Oryzias latipes: one gene and its partner. The protein of the gene in region 2 purifies or fractionates together with the protein of the main gene of each other region. This does not show direct contact. Links are inferred from orthologs where the notes say so. Each region holds a gene or a part of one and is shown on either strand. Other genes may lie near its edges.

Region 1 (6,916 bases), on a different chromosome or scaffold from region 2:
TCAGCTATATGGCTGTTTTCATTCAGTTACCTTTATTTTCATAGTAAAAGTTGTTTGCTTTATTCTAAGGAGGCACAATACCTTTGTGATGGCTGCCTATGCTGCCACCCTGCACCACACCCTACATATATCTGTTCACTTTTTTTGTTTGCATATACTTTTAGTTTTCTTTTTTCAAACATAACCCAAACACATGTTTGAACATGAAATTTATTAACATGTTTCAGTTTACTTTATTATAATCTGCTTCATTAATTTGATGTTTTGTTTGAGTTACCAGTGCTGAGGGAACCGTTGTTGCTGTTGTTGTTGTTGTTGCTGCTGCTGCTGCTGCTGGTGCTGGAACCAGCAAGTCAGGCCTGACACAACAATGCATGCCAGTCAGCAGAGGCTTCATGTTTAGCAGGCAGCTAATTGGACTGAACCATAGTGGACAAGGAACTCTTTTTGGTGTTTCTTTACCTTAGTTTCTATTTTGATGATCTTTATTTGTCATTCATTTGTGTATGTTAATTTACCAAAGGATGGACTTAAGTTTAGTTTGTTTGTTGTAGTTTGTCTTAGTCTTTTTAAGTTCCCCCTTGTGTGTCTAGTTGGTTTGATCTGCCACTATATATGTTCCCTTGTGTTTTTAATTAGGTAGGTCAGTTTAATTAAGTTGGTTTGTCTGTTCAGTTGTCCTCTGTTACATTTAAAAGCTTGAGTTAATTTTGTTACTTGGACCTCTTTTAAGGGCCCATTTTTTCCCATTTCCACTTTTTGAAAAATAAATTTAAATATTTTTGATAAAATTGTTTGCTGTCCTTGACTTCCACTGCTTGGTCCACCACAATTTGGCAGACAGTTAAGTAAGAGGGTCCTTGTCAACGTTGGTCAGTATCAAGATTTCAAACCGCAAATCTCACCTTATAGTTTAGCTTCGACTGTACAACCAGAAGCTCATTAATGCTCCAATGCAGCAGAGATGAGCTTAAAACAACATTTTTATGCTGAAAAGTCATTGTAGCAGGAAAAAATACCGGGATTGCAAGATATTCTAATGAAAGACAGCAAAAATGTAAATATTGTATATTGATAATTATTGTGTTTTGCCCAACAGATTTGAACAATACTAGCTTATTGAATTGGAATTTTATGCATCTCAAATTTTATTGTAGGCATCAGTGGAAGCCCTTCTGTTACCAAAGGGGCTGCAAACACTATGAGAAGGTTTATTTTCTGTTAAAATAATACTTAAAATTACTTAAATTTACACATTAAAGAAAGAAAAATCAATCAAGGTATTGAAGTAGCTTTTTTAGTTTTATTCTTGTTAATACAAATATTCAGACAAGTAGTTTTCACCTTTACTTTTAAAGCAATGCTACTATTGAGTACAATTTTTGGACACGACTTCCCTCTGGGCACGTGTTTATGTACATGCATACGTGTTAGCCTGTGTGCACCTATATGTGTCTGCACATTAGCCTGTCTGCGTGCAACCGTGTGTCCACACTAGTCCGTGTGCACAGGTGAGCATCTGTCCGTGTGCACTTGTCTCTGCATGTAACCCCGTTTGCTTGTGCATGAGTGTGCTTGAGTATGTCAATGTAGATGCTCTTCAATGCAGCTCCCAGCTCCAGTTTGAGGACAGATTATGAGGAGTCAGCACCTGCAGGCCATGAGAAGCATCAGGAAATATCCCAATTAGATTAAAGAAAACTGTAAAGGCAGAATCTAGGTTCTGTCCAGCTGTGGGCCTGAAAAGAGAAAGCAAGTAATCCTCCTGAGGGTCGACGACCTGCTCAATGAAACTGACATGCACACACACAGCTTCTCGGTTAGGTAATGTAAACAAGCAGAACCACATGTGTGAATGACTGAACAGAACACAAAATCTGGAGAATCTGATAGAGTTAAGATCTTTGGGACTGGAGACCAGCCACACTCCGGTTCATGTTTTCTGTTTTTAATATTAGTCACAGTAGTGAAACGTTTGTCTTCAGAAATTCAATGTTTCAATGAGGAAAAAGTGTTTTGAGCAAAGATTTATTTCATATAATCTCAAATGTAATTGTAATTATGAGCAATTTATCTTAGAATTATTTATCATTTTCTTTTAGGTTTACAGGATTTTAGCTTCATAGTTTAAACTCCATCAGAGTTTAAAGTTAGTGTCACATCATTTTGCTGAGTTTAATTTATACGTAAAGCTGTAAAATGCAAAATAATGCAGGAATCAGAATACTTTTCAAGACTTTACAAACTGAGATCAGAAAATAATTTATTTTTCATTCACAAATCAGATAACCAATATTTTCTGTCATTTATCTGCTTCCATAGAAACTCTTAAACCCTCAACTTGAAAACAAAAATGCAATATGTTCCCTCTCAACCACAATCCTTGTATTTCGGTCAGTGTTTGTCTGCATGGTTCGGCAGAACATTTGGAAGAATCTGGACCTACTGGAGTCTTTTGACACATTTAAGAAGTTAAACTTCTACAATCAGAAGTGTTTCTGACCATAAAACCTCGTTGCTCTGCTGACCCCCCCCTCGCCAGCCACCATATGCCTCAGTTTGACGATTACGGGCACCACGCTGACAGCTTCAAGAAAACTTGGTGAAAACATTAAAAATTAAAGCACTTATTTATTTATAGACACTTGACAAATTCAAGCTTTTGTGTAAAACATCATCGGTCATGGCTGCAGCGTTCCTCAGTGTCCCAGAAGCCCCGTTCCTGCAGACAGAAAAGGCTGTTAGTGGAGCAGAGGGCGTGAACGTGCTCCTGTTTGCATGTGCGATCGTTGAACCTCACCTTTGAACCCCTCCTCCGGTAGCCTCACTGTGGATGAAGCAGACAACGTCAGTGGAACCTTCAGGATTTGAGAGCTTCTGCAGATCAACACACTTACCTTGATAGGCGTCATCCATGGCGGCGTAATCTGCGATGGGTTCGTCGGCCTGCGGGGGGACACAGTCACGAGCGTTACCAGAACTATCAGACACAAGAATGACTCCCCCCACCCCCAGTATCAAACCTTTAAGCATATGATGCTCTCTGGGACGACGCCCAGGCTGCCCAGCGTGGCCGAGTCATCCGTCAGGCTCTTTCCATCAATGGAGAGGTTTTGGTCAAATGGCGCCACAGAAAAGGCGTGCATGATCTGCAGCAACACAGGGAGTCAGAGCCGCTCACTCACATCTTTATTACCTGCAGAGCTCCTCCCCCTTACCTGTATCTTCAGCTCCTTTAGCGTCTGATTGGCTGAGACAATGAGGGCTTTCTCCCCCCGCAGTTTCCGATGTCGAGTACTCCTCCTGATCCCGCCCACTTTGGCTGAGGTGGTCACAGGAAGAGCTGCAGGAGCGACAGTGCCATCGGCCAGTCTCAGCCGCTTCGCCCCATCCTGAGACTGCAGCAGGGCCGACTGAAAGCAACAGAGCAGACAGACAGGGGGTGAGCAGTCAGGTGACTCTGAACCCGCGTGGGACCACGCAGGCGGATGCCACACCCCTTTTGATCTAACAAAACTGCTGTCGACAGCTCAGCACACATCAATGCTAGGATTATTTCTGCAGACTGAGAAAGAGCCACACGCAGCTGTCAGGTGATGAGACTGGTCGCAACACACCTGACTAAAATCTGGGTCTTCGCCTCCTTCCAACTTCAGATGCTCCTCTCGCTCCTCCTCAGCCTCGGAGCTGCTGGCGTTCATCTCTGGAGTCACATCCTTCACCATCTGTGCAGAAATGGTAGAGCGGGTTAAACCGTGACCTTCCTGCGCAGAAGTTGCGGGTGCTCTGTGCGCTGGCTCACCCTGGCGTCTTCCAGGACTTTGCGGATGTAGATGGTTGCTTGGTTGTACTCTCTGAGGTCCTTCTGCTGCTGGAACAGGAAGCTCTCCCTGCAGTCCCAGCACAGCTCTGAACACACACCAGACTCGGGTCAAACACAAACACCAGGGTCTGCCAGCACCCTGAAGTAGCCTCTATGCCATTTTACACTCATTAGCAAAATATATTTATGCCAGGACTCAACTTAGTTAAGCATCACCTTGAAAGAAAAAAAAACAACAAAGAATTTCTATTTACTTAATCAGAAATAAAGTCAGGCAGTAATCTATCAAATTCTTTTGATTGATCCCAGATTACCAGAAGTCTAATTTGAAGCCACTCGTGCTGCTGCTTTGTGCATCATTTCTCTGCCAAGACTAAATCTGATAAGGAATTCGTGTTTAAATAAAGCCAAAGTATTTTTCAGAATATCCTCTGAGATGACGGACCAGGAGCCTTTCTGCTGCGACACATGAACACACGTTTTATATGAGCTGCAAATGTTAAGATGTAAGCGGACTGAGCGCTGAGCTGCAGATCTTACCAGGCTGGGTGGTGTACTGAGGGGTGGAGCCCTCCGTGCTCTCTCTGAGGCAGTGGATGGATATGGCCTGATCAACGATGAACAGTCTGCTGATGACCTCCCACTCGCTGGGCCAGAGCAGAGCTATACTGTGCCAGACAGACAGCACAACATGAGAGGGCAGCAGCAACACCTCGCTGTCTGTTATGTGTGTGTGTGAGAGAACAGACCCAAAGCTAGAATTGAAGGATTGTTTCCCTCTGATGAGGGATGAGTTTTTAACAGGTTCTTGTGGCATTTTTCTGATGACGGAGGACATATTTAAAAAAAAATTAAGCTAAAAAATGCATTTCTTAGTATTTCTTCAAGTTGTTGTGAATCAGAAGCGGAGGAAAAGATGGCGTTGGAAAAAGAGCTCATTTGTGATGGAGAAAATACACTTGGCGGGCCACAACTAATGTTTGGACGTCAGAATTTATTTCGCGGCAGAACATAAACAAACCAGCCTTCGGGACCGAATATCCGCGGGACTCATGTCACTTACATTAACCTTATACTGACCATGCCATTTGAAGACATAATTACTTTGGTTAACGGCTGTTTTAACGTCCTAAAAGAACGGTGGTGCCGCCCGGACGTTGACGCCTGAAGACCCCTGAAAGCGCGGCTGTTCTCCCCACTTTGTGAAGAGATGGGAGCAAAACACTCGGCTGTGGTTCCACAGCGAGGCCAGGAGGTAAGATTATGACATGGTGTTAAAGTTGAACATATTTGGCATATTTTGTCACAGTTTCTTTGCGGTGGGAGAGAATGAACATTTTTTTCCTCAAAGGGGGGAGGGGCAAGAGACAAAATTTGAGAACCACTGGTATAACATAAATAGACACTATTTGATAAGGTTAAACATTACATATCAAATATAGTGTTTGGCCCGTCTAATTGTCTTTACTGCTTCACAGTTTGACCCCCTGATTTAGGTAGAATTTACACAGAATTAGATTTCATGTTAAAAAAAACAAAAACCTGATCATTGAGCCTGGGGGGGGGGGCTGCAGAGGTTGTTACATGCAGTGATCCTGCATCCTTACATCGTCTTTCCTTGATCAAAGACAGAAAACGGGAAGCTGAACTCACTGCTGAGCGTCGCCACTGATCAAGGAGTCGTAGGTGAACATGAACCCCCCATGAGGGCACAACAGGAGGCTGTTCCCCACGTTAGACACTGGGGAGGATTTAGTGGGCCTCCTGCAGAGCAAACACAGCTGTAAGATCTGAACTTTTCTCCTGATGAATTGAGAAAAAAACTTAAGCTAAAGGAAACAAACCTGATGAACTTCCTCCACTCCTCCACAAAGAACAGAGGAACCACATACAGAACATCCGTGTTCTGAGGAAACAAACGTGAGTCAGAGGAGGAGTGCCAGGGCGGTTTCAGAGACTCGGTCTGGTTCTGACCTGAGGCCACTTTGAAAGCGTGGGCCGGTTCTTCTCATGGAAGAGGTTGAGCAGCTGGTTCTTCTGGTCAAGCGCCATCATCTTACTGACGGCCTCATTGTCCTTCTCCTCCTGCTCCAAAGTCTGGACACAAAGAGGAGCCACATGACCGTTACCTGAACTGTGACCATCGTCAGCCTGTTTAATTTTTTGATTCATTTTTAACATCTATATCTAAAATGTAAAACTAAATTAGATTAAACCTAAAATAATATAAGAAAGCTAAAAATATTTTAAAAATGTAAAAGTTTTCTATTTTATATTTTTTATATTTCTATTTTATAGTCAAGCCTGAAACTTTTGCAGAAAACATGAAGAAATATTAAAGTTCAATCAAATATTTCCATCTCTAAATGTCCTTTTGAACACTAAAACATGTGCATCTTAAGCTATCAGCATACACATATATTTTCACAGGAAATGTATGTTTCTGTTCTAAAGAGAGTATCTTTCAACTCTGGAGATTTGCAGGATTTTAGTTTGATAGTTTTTCCTCTGAGATTAGTTTGTCCTGAAAGCTCCTTCATCTGGAGCTGAACAGGTTACAGGTCAAAATGTGTTTCTTCTGAACTTCTAATCAAGTGAGAATTGAACTTTCCCCCCCCCTAAAAACCAAACTCATCAATCAACTGCCATCAATCAACGCGACACCGAGTTTGGTTTCTGATTTCCAAAAAAGCGTCAGAACTGAAAGTCAGAGAAAGAGAAAAGCCGCCAATGCTCCCTCACCAGACACTGTCGACAGGCCTCCTGCTTCTCCGTGAACTCCGGCGCTTTGGGGAAGTACTCCCGAAGCTTGGACCACACTTCCGGAGATACCAGCTTCCGCTCGGCCTCCAGGATGCTGAGGCCTCCTGCAGGAGGAACAGGATGAGGTTTCAACCGCATGTTCCCGTTACAGACGCAAAAAGGTCTGAGTGGAGGCTGACAGCAGAACTACCGTGGCTGCAGAGGATGTCCTCATTAAAGGTCTTCATCTCCTCCTCGGTGCCTCCTGACAGATCTGAACAGAACTCTGCAGGAAGAGAAATCGTTTTAAAAAGGTCCGGGACAGCGGAGCGGACAGCAATGTGGCATTCA
Region 2 (8,789 bases):
CGCTGTAGATGCTCTCGGTAGCCGGGCACACTTTGTTTAAGTGGGCATCTATCTGCAGCTCTGGGTTGATTTCACGCGTTGCTTCTGCTGCTGTGGTGCTCTTTGGTGTCTGAGTGCAGAGAGACGATTAAGAAATTAAATAAAAAAAGTATGATTATATGTTTGGAAGAGAATTCCATTGATTAAAAAAAAAAAAGGGCCGTAATCGAAAGATGTGCTTACCTGGATATGATGCGGTCTGAAGAGAAACTGCCTGTTAAGGTTGGACTTTTCTATCAGGTCTGGGTCTGTGATGCACACCTGTCAGGTGAAAAACAACAAATCATTTTAGAAATGTACACGCAATAAACAAATGTTTATTAATAAAACGATATGCTCACCTCTCCTAAGCTTTTAGCCAGGCCCACTCCAAGAAGAGCAAAATTTTTTAGCATCTCGCAACCTATGGCACCACAACCAACCTTCGAGGAGAAAATAATGGACGTTTTTATCCAGACATCAACAGTCTTTGGTAAGGTTAATACAGGCCGGCTCGTACCATGAAGACCCTGAGCTTGTGCAGTTCAAGCAACATTGATTCTCCGATGCACGCTCGTAATCCGTCATATCGATCGCCTCTGGGGAAGAACTCCTCAGCAGACAGGGACTGAAGAGGCCGGACTACCTCCAGAGCATCAAGATAAAACTAAACAGGAGAGAAGCGGTATTCAATTAAATCAAATCAACAGTGAAAAGTCAGACTCTGATCATCTTTTGATCTATTTTAAAGCTTTTCCAGTAGTCTTAATTATTGTTGTGCTGTTTTTAGCCAAAATCAAAGAACAAAAGCACATGTCCTGTTTTCTAGGACATCGTTTCTGCAGAGAGGCTGTAGTTTATTAGAAATTTGCCTACGAGTTGTGAGCGGGACTGTTGGCACGGAGTAAACCCACCCCAACTTCCCATCATCTGTCTGTTTATACCAGAGATGCCTGAATTTGGGCACCTCTGGTCTCATCGGAGCAGGTCTTTAAATATAAAAAAATAAATAAATAAAAGAAATCACAAAGAAGAACAATTTTAGTAACCTACCCATTGCTGCAGAGGCCCAAACTTTCCAGTGATGGCCTTTAAAACTTCCTGACTGGCTATTCCTCCAGCTGCTGCAGCTAGAGGTGGAAGAGTCCCTCTGGCTGTTTTAGACATGCAGCGCACCAACTCAGCGTTCACAGGAAGCTGTGGGGACAGAAAGAGGAGACTAAAACTTCAGCAAAAAATACATAAAAAAGCAGCAAGATTAAAGATGAGGAACAGTAGAGCTACCTTGTATAGATAAGTGGCAGAATAAAATCTGAAATAATGGTTATAAGAAAGGCAAAAATCTATTTGGCTAAATTTTAAATTTTTGTTCAACTTCATAGTGTTCTAAAAAAGGTGCAAGATAAATATGGATAAGGAACTCTCCGGGACACATTTGACTTTAAAGCTATAATTGGAAAACACTTACTTTGTTCTTATGAGTGACACTGACTTCCTCGGTTAGCTTTAGTAGAGCCTCGGCGTCCTCTAAACATCTGATGACATCAAAGCAAAACTGAGGAAACCTTCAAACAGCTCATTACAGTTTTTTTTTCCCAAATGAAAGCATAAAAAAATCTAGAAGTCTGATTACCCAATGTTGGGAAGTCTGCCGTGCTTTTCCTGGAAGGCATCTAGTGCCAGCATGGCTGCATGAATGTGTAACGGAGCCTGATGGGAGGATTTCAAACCACAGTGAGGTTTCCAGACAACTCAAAAATATGTCTCACACATGACAAACTCAAGGAATTTTGGGGCCTGATCAAACCCAACCACTCCAAGGTGAAAGTTGGTACACTGCTTGTGTTACCATGGTGATTTGTGTGGAGTAGCGAGGCAACCTCGTAAGGCTGCAAACCAGAATTAAGGCCAAACAACAAACCTGTCCACAACTGAGTTTTTGAAAAACTCACCTCTGGTTTACTGAGATCTGGAATTAGGACCTGAGGATCACACAGCTGCTGTTCTAATGTTTCCTAAAAAAAAAAAAGTAAAACATGTAAAGTCGTGTGCTCAAATGTAGTTATTTGAATATGTCTGCATTATTTTTTACATTTATTTTGTACTCACAAATTTGTAAATCTGAGGAGTTTTAACCATAACAAAGAAGCCTCCGTGTTCATATGGCTGGAAGTGCGACGTGTCTCCTATTTCAAAGCTATGGGAGGAAATGACTAATGCAGCAAACACATTCACACACCCAGAGAAACAGAAACAGGACAAATGTTACTTAGATTAGGTTACTTTTGTATTTGCATGTGGTGGCATTGATGTGCTGGATTAAAGACCCACCTGAAACCTGCCGTGTGGTGCCATTGAGCTCCACCATGCCATTGATTTCTCTAAAGATAACGCTCTGGCCCGTCTGCAGACCATGGGGTTGGTTGTCTATGCAAGTAACCACCCCAGAATTGTCCTGAAAAAAATATGGAAAAAAAAGAAGAAAAGGACAAGTTCAGCAACAAAACAAAAATATCAGGATAACTGATTAGATAACTTTATGTAAATTCCAAGAGGCATAAGCAGAGGAACAGGGAGGAGTCTTAATTTGAAGAACAGAATGTGAAAGTATTATGACTACCTGAGTGATACTTTGGATGAAAATCTCCTTGAGCTCCTCCCCTGTGGGATCCGAGACCTCAAACGCTTCTCCGAAATCACAAAAGACCCGGACACAGATTCCATAAGCGTCACTAGAGATAAACTAACACAGACATATTTTTTATTTTAAATAAACCGTTTTTGTTATAAGTAATATTGATCTTGGTAAAACCAGGGGAATGACTGTAAACTCACTCTTATGGGAGGCTGCTGGGAGTGGCAGAACTTATTTATTCTCTTCTGCAGGCTCAAGCTGGACTCTGTCAAAATCACACACTGCAGGGGAAAGCACAGCAGTCAGTATATAGTAATACCTTCAGGAATACAGGAATAATCTTGTCTTAAATTATGACAAAAATTTTCTTTCATAAAAGTTGACAGTACAATTTAATATAAAGCTGCCAATAGCACAAGAGCATTTGCAGATTTCTTGCTGATCTGACGTTTTTTCTGGAAAAATTCAACAAACTAGTCCAAGAACAGCATAACGTCTTCCAAATGTAGGTGGTGGACATGTGCTAGTAAACAGTAGCAAAAGAAAAAGCAGAAGAAGCCTCTGCCAGCTTGTCCAGTGTGAACACCCAAATGTGTGTTATAGAACCCAGGTTTAGGCGCCACACACGCTCGGTGTGAACATAACATAACATAAAATATGTCGACTTACCTGATACTTTTTGAGAAAACTCAGGTCAATGTTGTCATCCAGGGGACAGGAGGACATGTCAACATGAACATAAGGGTTCAACTCCCCAACACGAGGGCACACTGCTTCCACCCTGTAACAGGCAAAACAAGAGGCTGAGTATTGGTACACAAGACAAAATCCACAACAAAAGGACAGAAAAAAAAAGAAAAAACTTTTTCATAAGTAACGATAAGATCAAGTGGCTATTAACTAATTTTCAAGTTCTCTCATCTAGGCTTCTACGCATGTTATTTAGTAACAAATGAGTTGACAAAAGCCATGCATAGACCTGAGTTTTTGCTGCACCTAAAGTCCTACTCCGATCATCTTTTGATCTATTCAAAACGTGTTCCCAGATGTCTTTTAATTATGATCATGCTATTTTTTTTCTGGGACACAGTTTCTACAGGGCAGTAGTAGTTCATTTTAATAAATAACAAAAATATTCAGAAATGCAGTATAAAGCCTAATATTTTTTTATACATGCCCTCCATCATGAGAAAAATTGCCACAAAAACAAATTAAAAACACCAAAAACCTGATTTTTAATTGAAGTGGTTCTTTACAAACCAATTCATAATCACATATAGCAGTTAATCATCTTTAGAAACCAATGCTTGGACTTGCAGAATGCATTATTACCTCTTCCTCTGGTTCAATACGTCATCTCTACGGATGAAGAAGTTACACCCCAGATCCCAAGTCTCACACAGTTTCGTGTCATGGAGAGTAACCGTCTGTTTAAAAATAAAAAATATATATATAATAAAACCCCTTAACTAAAAAAAAAAAGACATGTTTGCTATTTTATTACAAGAAAAGTTTAAAAGCCCTCTTACCTTCACACCTGCCAGAGTTATATTCTTGGCTGTAAGAAGGAAATGATTGAGTATGATTTTTTTTTTTTTTTTTTTTTTTGAATCTATCAAAGATAAAGAGTTGTGGTGCAAACGTGTGTCCTCTTCTCTTGCTCACCTATCTCCACTCCCAGTGCTCCCATTCCACTAAGAAAGACAGAGGACTGGGCCATCTGCTGCATGGCACCGTCTCCAAGCACATATCTCTGGCGGCTATTAGGAAGCACATAAATAAAGATGTTAGCTACACTCACCAAGGAGACAGACAGCTGCACGTGGAGCTTCAGGTCATCAGAAGAAGAAAAAAAAGAACACCAAAAACTGCACTTGCCTGTAAAGTGAGTCGTCAATCTCCATCAAGTCTGCAGCCATGCTGGGAGGAAAAGGGCTGATTCAGCCGGTTTAAAGATAGCGACTCTACCTTAAGAAGAAGGTGCACGTAACAAATAGAAAGTTGATATCGAAGATGTGAGACACTTTAGTGTAAATAGATGCAATGTGGACCAACGCCCTATTTATTAAAAGTATAGCTTGGCGGCTAGCTGACATTTGATGGGAGGCAAGTTGTCAACAGTAACAGTTCACGGTTAGAACTCGTTACATAGGACTTGTTCTGATCAAATGTTACAACGACTACAAATTGTTTATAATGATCGCGCATGCTCGTTTCTAATCTCGAGAGGAAAAAGCAACGTTAGCCACAAGCTAGCCACGGATTTCACTTCTGCCCAGTTACCGGTAGCGAGGACAGCCACCGTAAACTCATAAAAAGTGGTGACACACATTTGTTAATATAATATGCAACTTTCCGGGTTGTTCAATCTTTTAGAGAGATCTCCAACTCAGCGAGGACAATGTAGGTTTTATTATTTATAGAGTTAAAAACTAAACCCAAACGACTTACGTTAATAGCTGACAGTATGCGCGACGGTCCTCGGCGAATGAATGGCTGTGAGTGGTTGAAAATTTGAAGTGGTTCCGGGTTACAGTAATCACGTGATAGCAGTCATCCAATCATGTCGTGGTGATTAAAATGAGTATTACAGTACATAAACTAATACTAATAATAACAATAATAAACTAAATCTGCATATTTTTTTTAGCAGAACGGCATCATCTTAAAAAACCCTATTGGTATTAATACGTACCATTACATTGTGTTTGATCATATTGTTTTTCCAGCTATTTCCACCATCTGTACTAAATTATCTAAACAACCCGGAGGAGATTGTTCATCTTTGCAGTCAAATAGAGGATGACAGGCAAAAACAACCTGTCTTTTTTCAGATTCAGAGCTGCCAAGACAATATTGATGCACACATGCTCTATTCAGTCAGTCTATCAATCTTTTTGATGGTATACTGTATCTTTTTTGTGTTGTTTATTTGTGTATTTATGTGCTTTGTAGGATATATCAATTTTGTCCCTTTTTATTTAATTTTTATGTACTGATTTTTATCAAAAACCCTTTCTTTTTTGTATGATCATTTGCACTTTGACCTGATTTGACTTGGGTAAAGAATGAGGGTTTGATGAACTGGAGAAGCTGGAGAAATAGAACAGAACATGTTTGGGTGCTGTACTGTTTAGAGAAGCAAAGGTCAACAGTTTGGTGAAACATTTACATCCGTTCAACTCCTGTTGCTCTACAAGACAACGATGACGAACACACAATAGTAACTGTTACTTCAAGTTTTGAATGCATTCTTGTTTGCATATAATTCAGTCTAAAAGGCCTCTTTCCTATTTTACCCTAAACAAGAAAAAGCCCTGACTTGCATTTGTCAGAAAACTATTTTTCAACCCTGGGCACCTTAGTCTGAGAGGCACCCTCCCTTTCAGCATATTGGTCAAACTCCCACAGGAGCCCCCCACCCCCCTGAGCTGCAGCCAAAACTAAGTCTGAAACAGACTGAACTGCGTTCATCTTCCAAAGGCTTGCTCTTCTTTGGCAATGTGGGGCAGTCGCATGGCACTACGTCGGCTCCAGAAAATCGCTGTTGCTCCCCTGAGCATCAAAGAAGGCGTACCAAGTAACGTCCAGAGAGAAATGTCCACCCTCCAGCGGGTGTATGTGACCCGACAGATCCCGCCTGAGGGACTGAAGATCCTCAAAGAATCAGGACAGTAAGTTAGAAAAATATGTCTTTCTGAAATGTCTTTCATGCTGCTCACTGATATTGAAGCACTTTCAACAAATTTGTTTTGTAAAGATCCCCATTTTTAGAGGAAAACTTTTAATGTTTGCATTTGAAATTGTAAGATTGCAAATTCCATAACCTCTTTAATATATCTATATCTTAAATTTCCAAATATTTAAAATAGAAATTTTGATGGTACATAGAACAATGAGGCCTCCGTGTTTTTGAGTTTGTTCATTTCAACCCATTATGCACTTCTGACCTCTGCGGCTGATGACGACATATTGGGGTTGCTTCAGATCTGTGGTTTCATGTTTTGCCCTATAGGGTGCAGTTTGAGCTGTGGGGCTCAGACGACGTTCCTGTACCAAGGGCGGAGCTGCTGAAAAAGGTCAAAGGTGTTGATGGTCTGCTCTGCGTGCTGACAGAAAAGATTGATGCTGAACTGTTGGATTCTGCAGGTCTGTTTTTATTTTATTTTATTTATATTTTAATATATTAAAATAGACTTTTTGGTGCAAGATCATGAAAGTTTGCAAATCTGTCCCTGCAGGTCCAAATCTAAAGGTTCTCAGTACCATGTCAGTGGGTTTTGATCATCTGTCTTTAGATGAGCTGAAGAAAAGGTGACCTTTCTCTTCGCAGCAGAAAACATGAAATGAAAACATCTGACAGCATGGATTTGCATTTTTCCACATAACATTTCTGCATTTTCCTGCAGAGGAATCCGTGTAGGTTACACCCCTGAAGTTCTAACTGATGCAGTTGCTGAGCTGACTGTGGCTCTGCTGCTGACGACCTCTAGGAGACTCATAGAGGCCACACATGAAGCCAAGACGTAATGGTTTTATTCTAAAAACAAGTTCCTAACTCACAGAATTTACAAAAATTTGATTGCATTTATTACATCCTTTTGCCTGTGACAGTGGTGGCTGGGGCACATGGAGAACTCTCTGGCTGTGTGGACATGAACTGGCCAACAGCACTGTAGGTATCCTGGGTTTGGGAAGGATTGGTAAGTGTGAGACTTACACATTAGACAATGGAGTAGTGGTTATTTCTGGATATTTTACGTTTTCTGTGCGTGCATACGTCTCTAGGTGTAGCTATCGCAGAGCGCCTGGCACCCTTTAAAGTAAAAAAGTTCATCTACACAGACGTGGCTCCCAGGCCCGAACTGGCCAGAGCCATCAACGCAGAATACGGTAAGATTTATGATTCCCCATTGTTATGCTTTCATTTATGAAAATGACAGCTTCGCACAGAGGAGAAAAAGAGAATAAAGGCTGCAGAGACTGTAACTCGTCATTCGGACCAAAGTCAGATCTTCATGTAGCATCTCTTTTGTTTTAGTCTCGTTTGATGAACTGGCAAAGCAGTCGGATTTCCTGGCCGTGTGCTGTGCTTTAACACCAGAGACTAAGGAGATCTGCAACAAAGAACTTTTCTCCAAGATGAAAAACACCTCCATTTTTATCAACACAAGCAGGTGCGCCACCCTCAAACACGACATCATCTCTAATATTCACATGTATATATTATTATCCTATTAGCAAGTAAATATGGTAGGAAAGGATGTGGCCTAATTATTTTAATTTGAAAAGATCTCATGGTTTCTGATGGCTTCTCCTCGCCTTTTTTGCTGTCTCAGAGGTGGAGTCGTGAACCAGGAGGATCTGTATGAGGCTTTGGCAGCTGGTCAGATAGCAGGAGCTGGTCTGGATGTCACCGTCCCAGAGCCTCTGCCCACTAACCATCCACTGTTTACCCTCAAAAACTGCGGTGGGTCTATCTTGGTTTGAATGATTCAACATGCTTTGTTTCTCTGATATTAATTTGTATTTTCTTGTACCTACAGTGATTCTTCCACATATTGCTAGTGCATCCTACACAACCCGGAACGCCATGTCTGCCCTTGCAGCCAACAACCTCCTCTTGGGCCTGCGAGGCGAGCCAATGATCAAGGAGCTCAAGCTGTAGGGGGCCACGCTCATCAATTAATGAATTCTTCTGGAAAAATGGTTTATCTTTGGGGTTTGATTGGGATTCTAGGAGCTGCAATGGGTGTTTGATTTGTTCTGTCGTGATATAGATAAAAAAAAAAACTACTGTTGTGAATTTGTTTTATTCAGCCTATCAACAACTGAAACAACAAGAGTACTTTACAATCTTCAGAGCCTTCAACAGTACACATAGACCATCGTATGGTTACACAATGGAAATCATGTAGTTTTGGCATAAAAACAAAAGGTTTGCTTGTGAAGCTGGTAGAAATAAGGCAGAATCAATTTAAGCATTTATTTGAGTTAGCATGCAAGGCTGCTGTCTTTTTTTAAAGGGTTCTCTTTACCAAGATTTATGAATGAAAGTCTTTAAAAGTTCCTCTCAGATAAAAAATAATTTTAGAGCCTCACCTATGTAGACTGTATTTCTCTCTGCAAGTCAAGT

What was found.
Region 1: the proteins of uba6 (region 2) and usp48 fractionate together in Homo sapiens (co-fractionation; 3 studies listed by BioGRID, with this or other methods). This does not show direct contact. The link is inferred for Oryzias latipes from reciprocal best matches to the Homo sapiens genes UBA6 and USP48.

What each region holds. Positions count from the first base shown.
Region 1 is NC_019863.2:19,922,948-19,929,863, forward strand, and holds the end of usp48 (ubiquitin carboxyl-terminal hydrolase 48), read right to left. Parts: intron 6,852-6,916; coding exon 6,777-6,851; intron 6,691-6,776; coding exon 6,566-6,690; intron 5,921-6,565; coding exon 5,798-5,920; intron 5,730-5,797; coding exon 5,668-5,729; intron 5,588-5,667; coding exon 5,477-5,587; intron 4,492-5,476; coding exon 4,364-4,491; intron 3,910-4,363; coding exon 3,803-3,909; intron 3,726-3,802; coding exon 3,618-3,725; intron 3,414-3,617; coding exon 3,219-3,413; intron 3,150-3,218; coding exon 3,024-3,149; intron 2,947-3,023; coding exon 2,898-2,946; intron 2,828-2,897; coding exon 2,801-2,827; intron 2,723-2,800; coding exon 2,700-2,722; 3' UTR 2,247-2,699; downstream 1-2,246.
Region 2 is NC_019859.2:12,640,228-12,649,016, reverse strand, and holds the start of uba6 (ubiquitin-like modifier-activating enzyme 6), read right to left. Parts: upstream 5,189-8,789; 5' UTR 5,105-5,188; intron 4,622-5,104; 5' UTR 4,573-4,621; coding exon 4,532-4,572; intron 4,414-4,531; coding exon 4,319-4,413; intron 4,212-4,318; coding exon 4,183-4,211; intron 4,081-4,182; coding exon 3,986-4,080; intron 3,435-3,985; coding exon 3,323-3,434; intron 2,935-3,322; coding exon 2,854-2,934; intron 2,762-2,853; coding exon 2,639-2,761; intron 2,474-2,638; coding exon 2,350-2,473; intron 2,232-2,349; coding exon 2,128-2,231; intron 2,034-2,127; coding exon 1,971-2,033; intron 1,729-1,970; coding exon 1,652-1,728; intron 1,554-1,651; coding exon 1,487-1,553; intron 1,216-1,486; coding exon 1,072-1,215; intron 686-1,071; coding exon 539-685; intron 462-538; coding exon 381-461; intron 301-380; coding exon 223-300; intron 110-222; coding exon 1-109. Other genes in the region: glyoxylate reductase/hydroxypyruvate reductase, read left to right, coding at 6,155-6,327, 6,669-6,802, 6,895-6,967, 7,063-7,179, 7,268-7,356, 7,442-7,546, 7,695-7,830, 7,993-8,123 and 1 more. UniProt on the Homo sapiens protein: Activates ubiquitin by first adenylating its C-terminal glycine residue with ATP, and thereafter linking this residue to the side chain of a cysteine residue in E1, yielding a ubiquitin-E1 thioester and free AMP.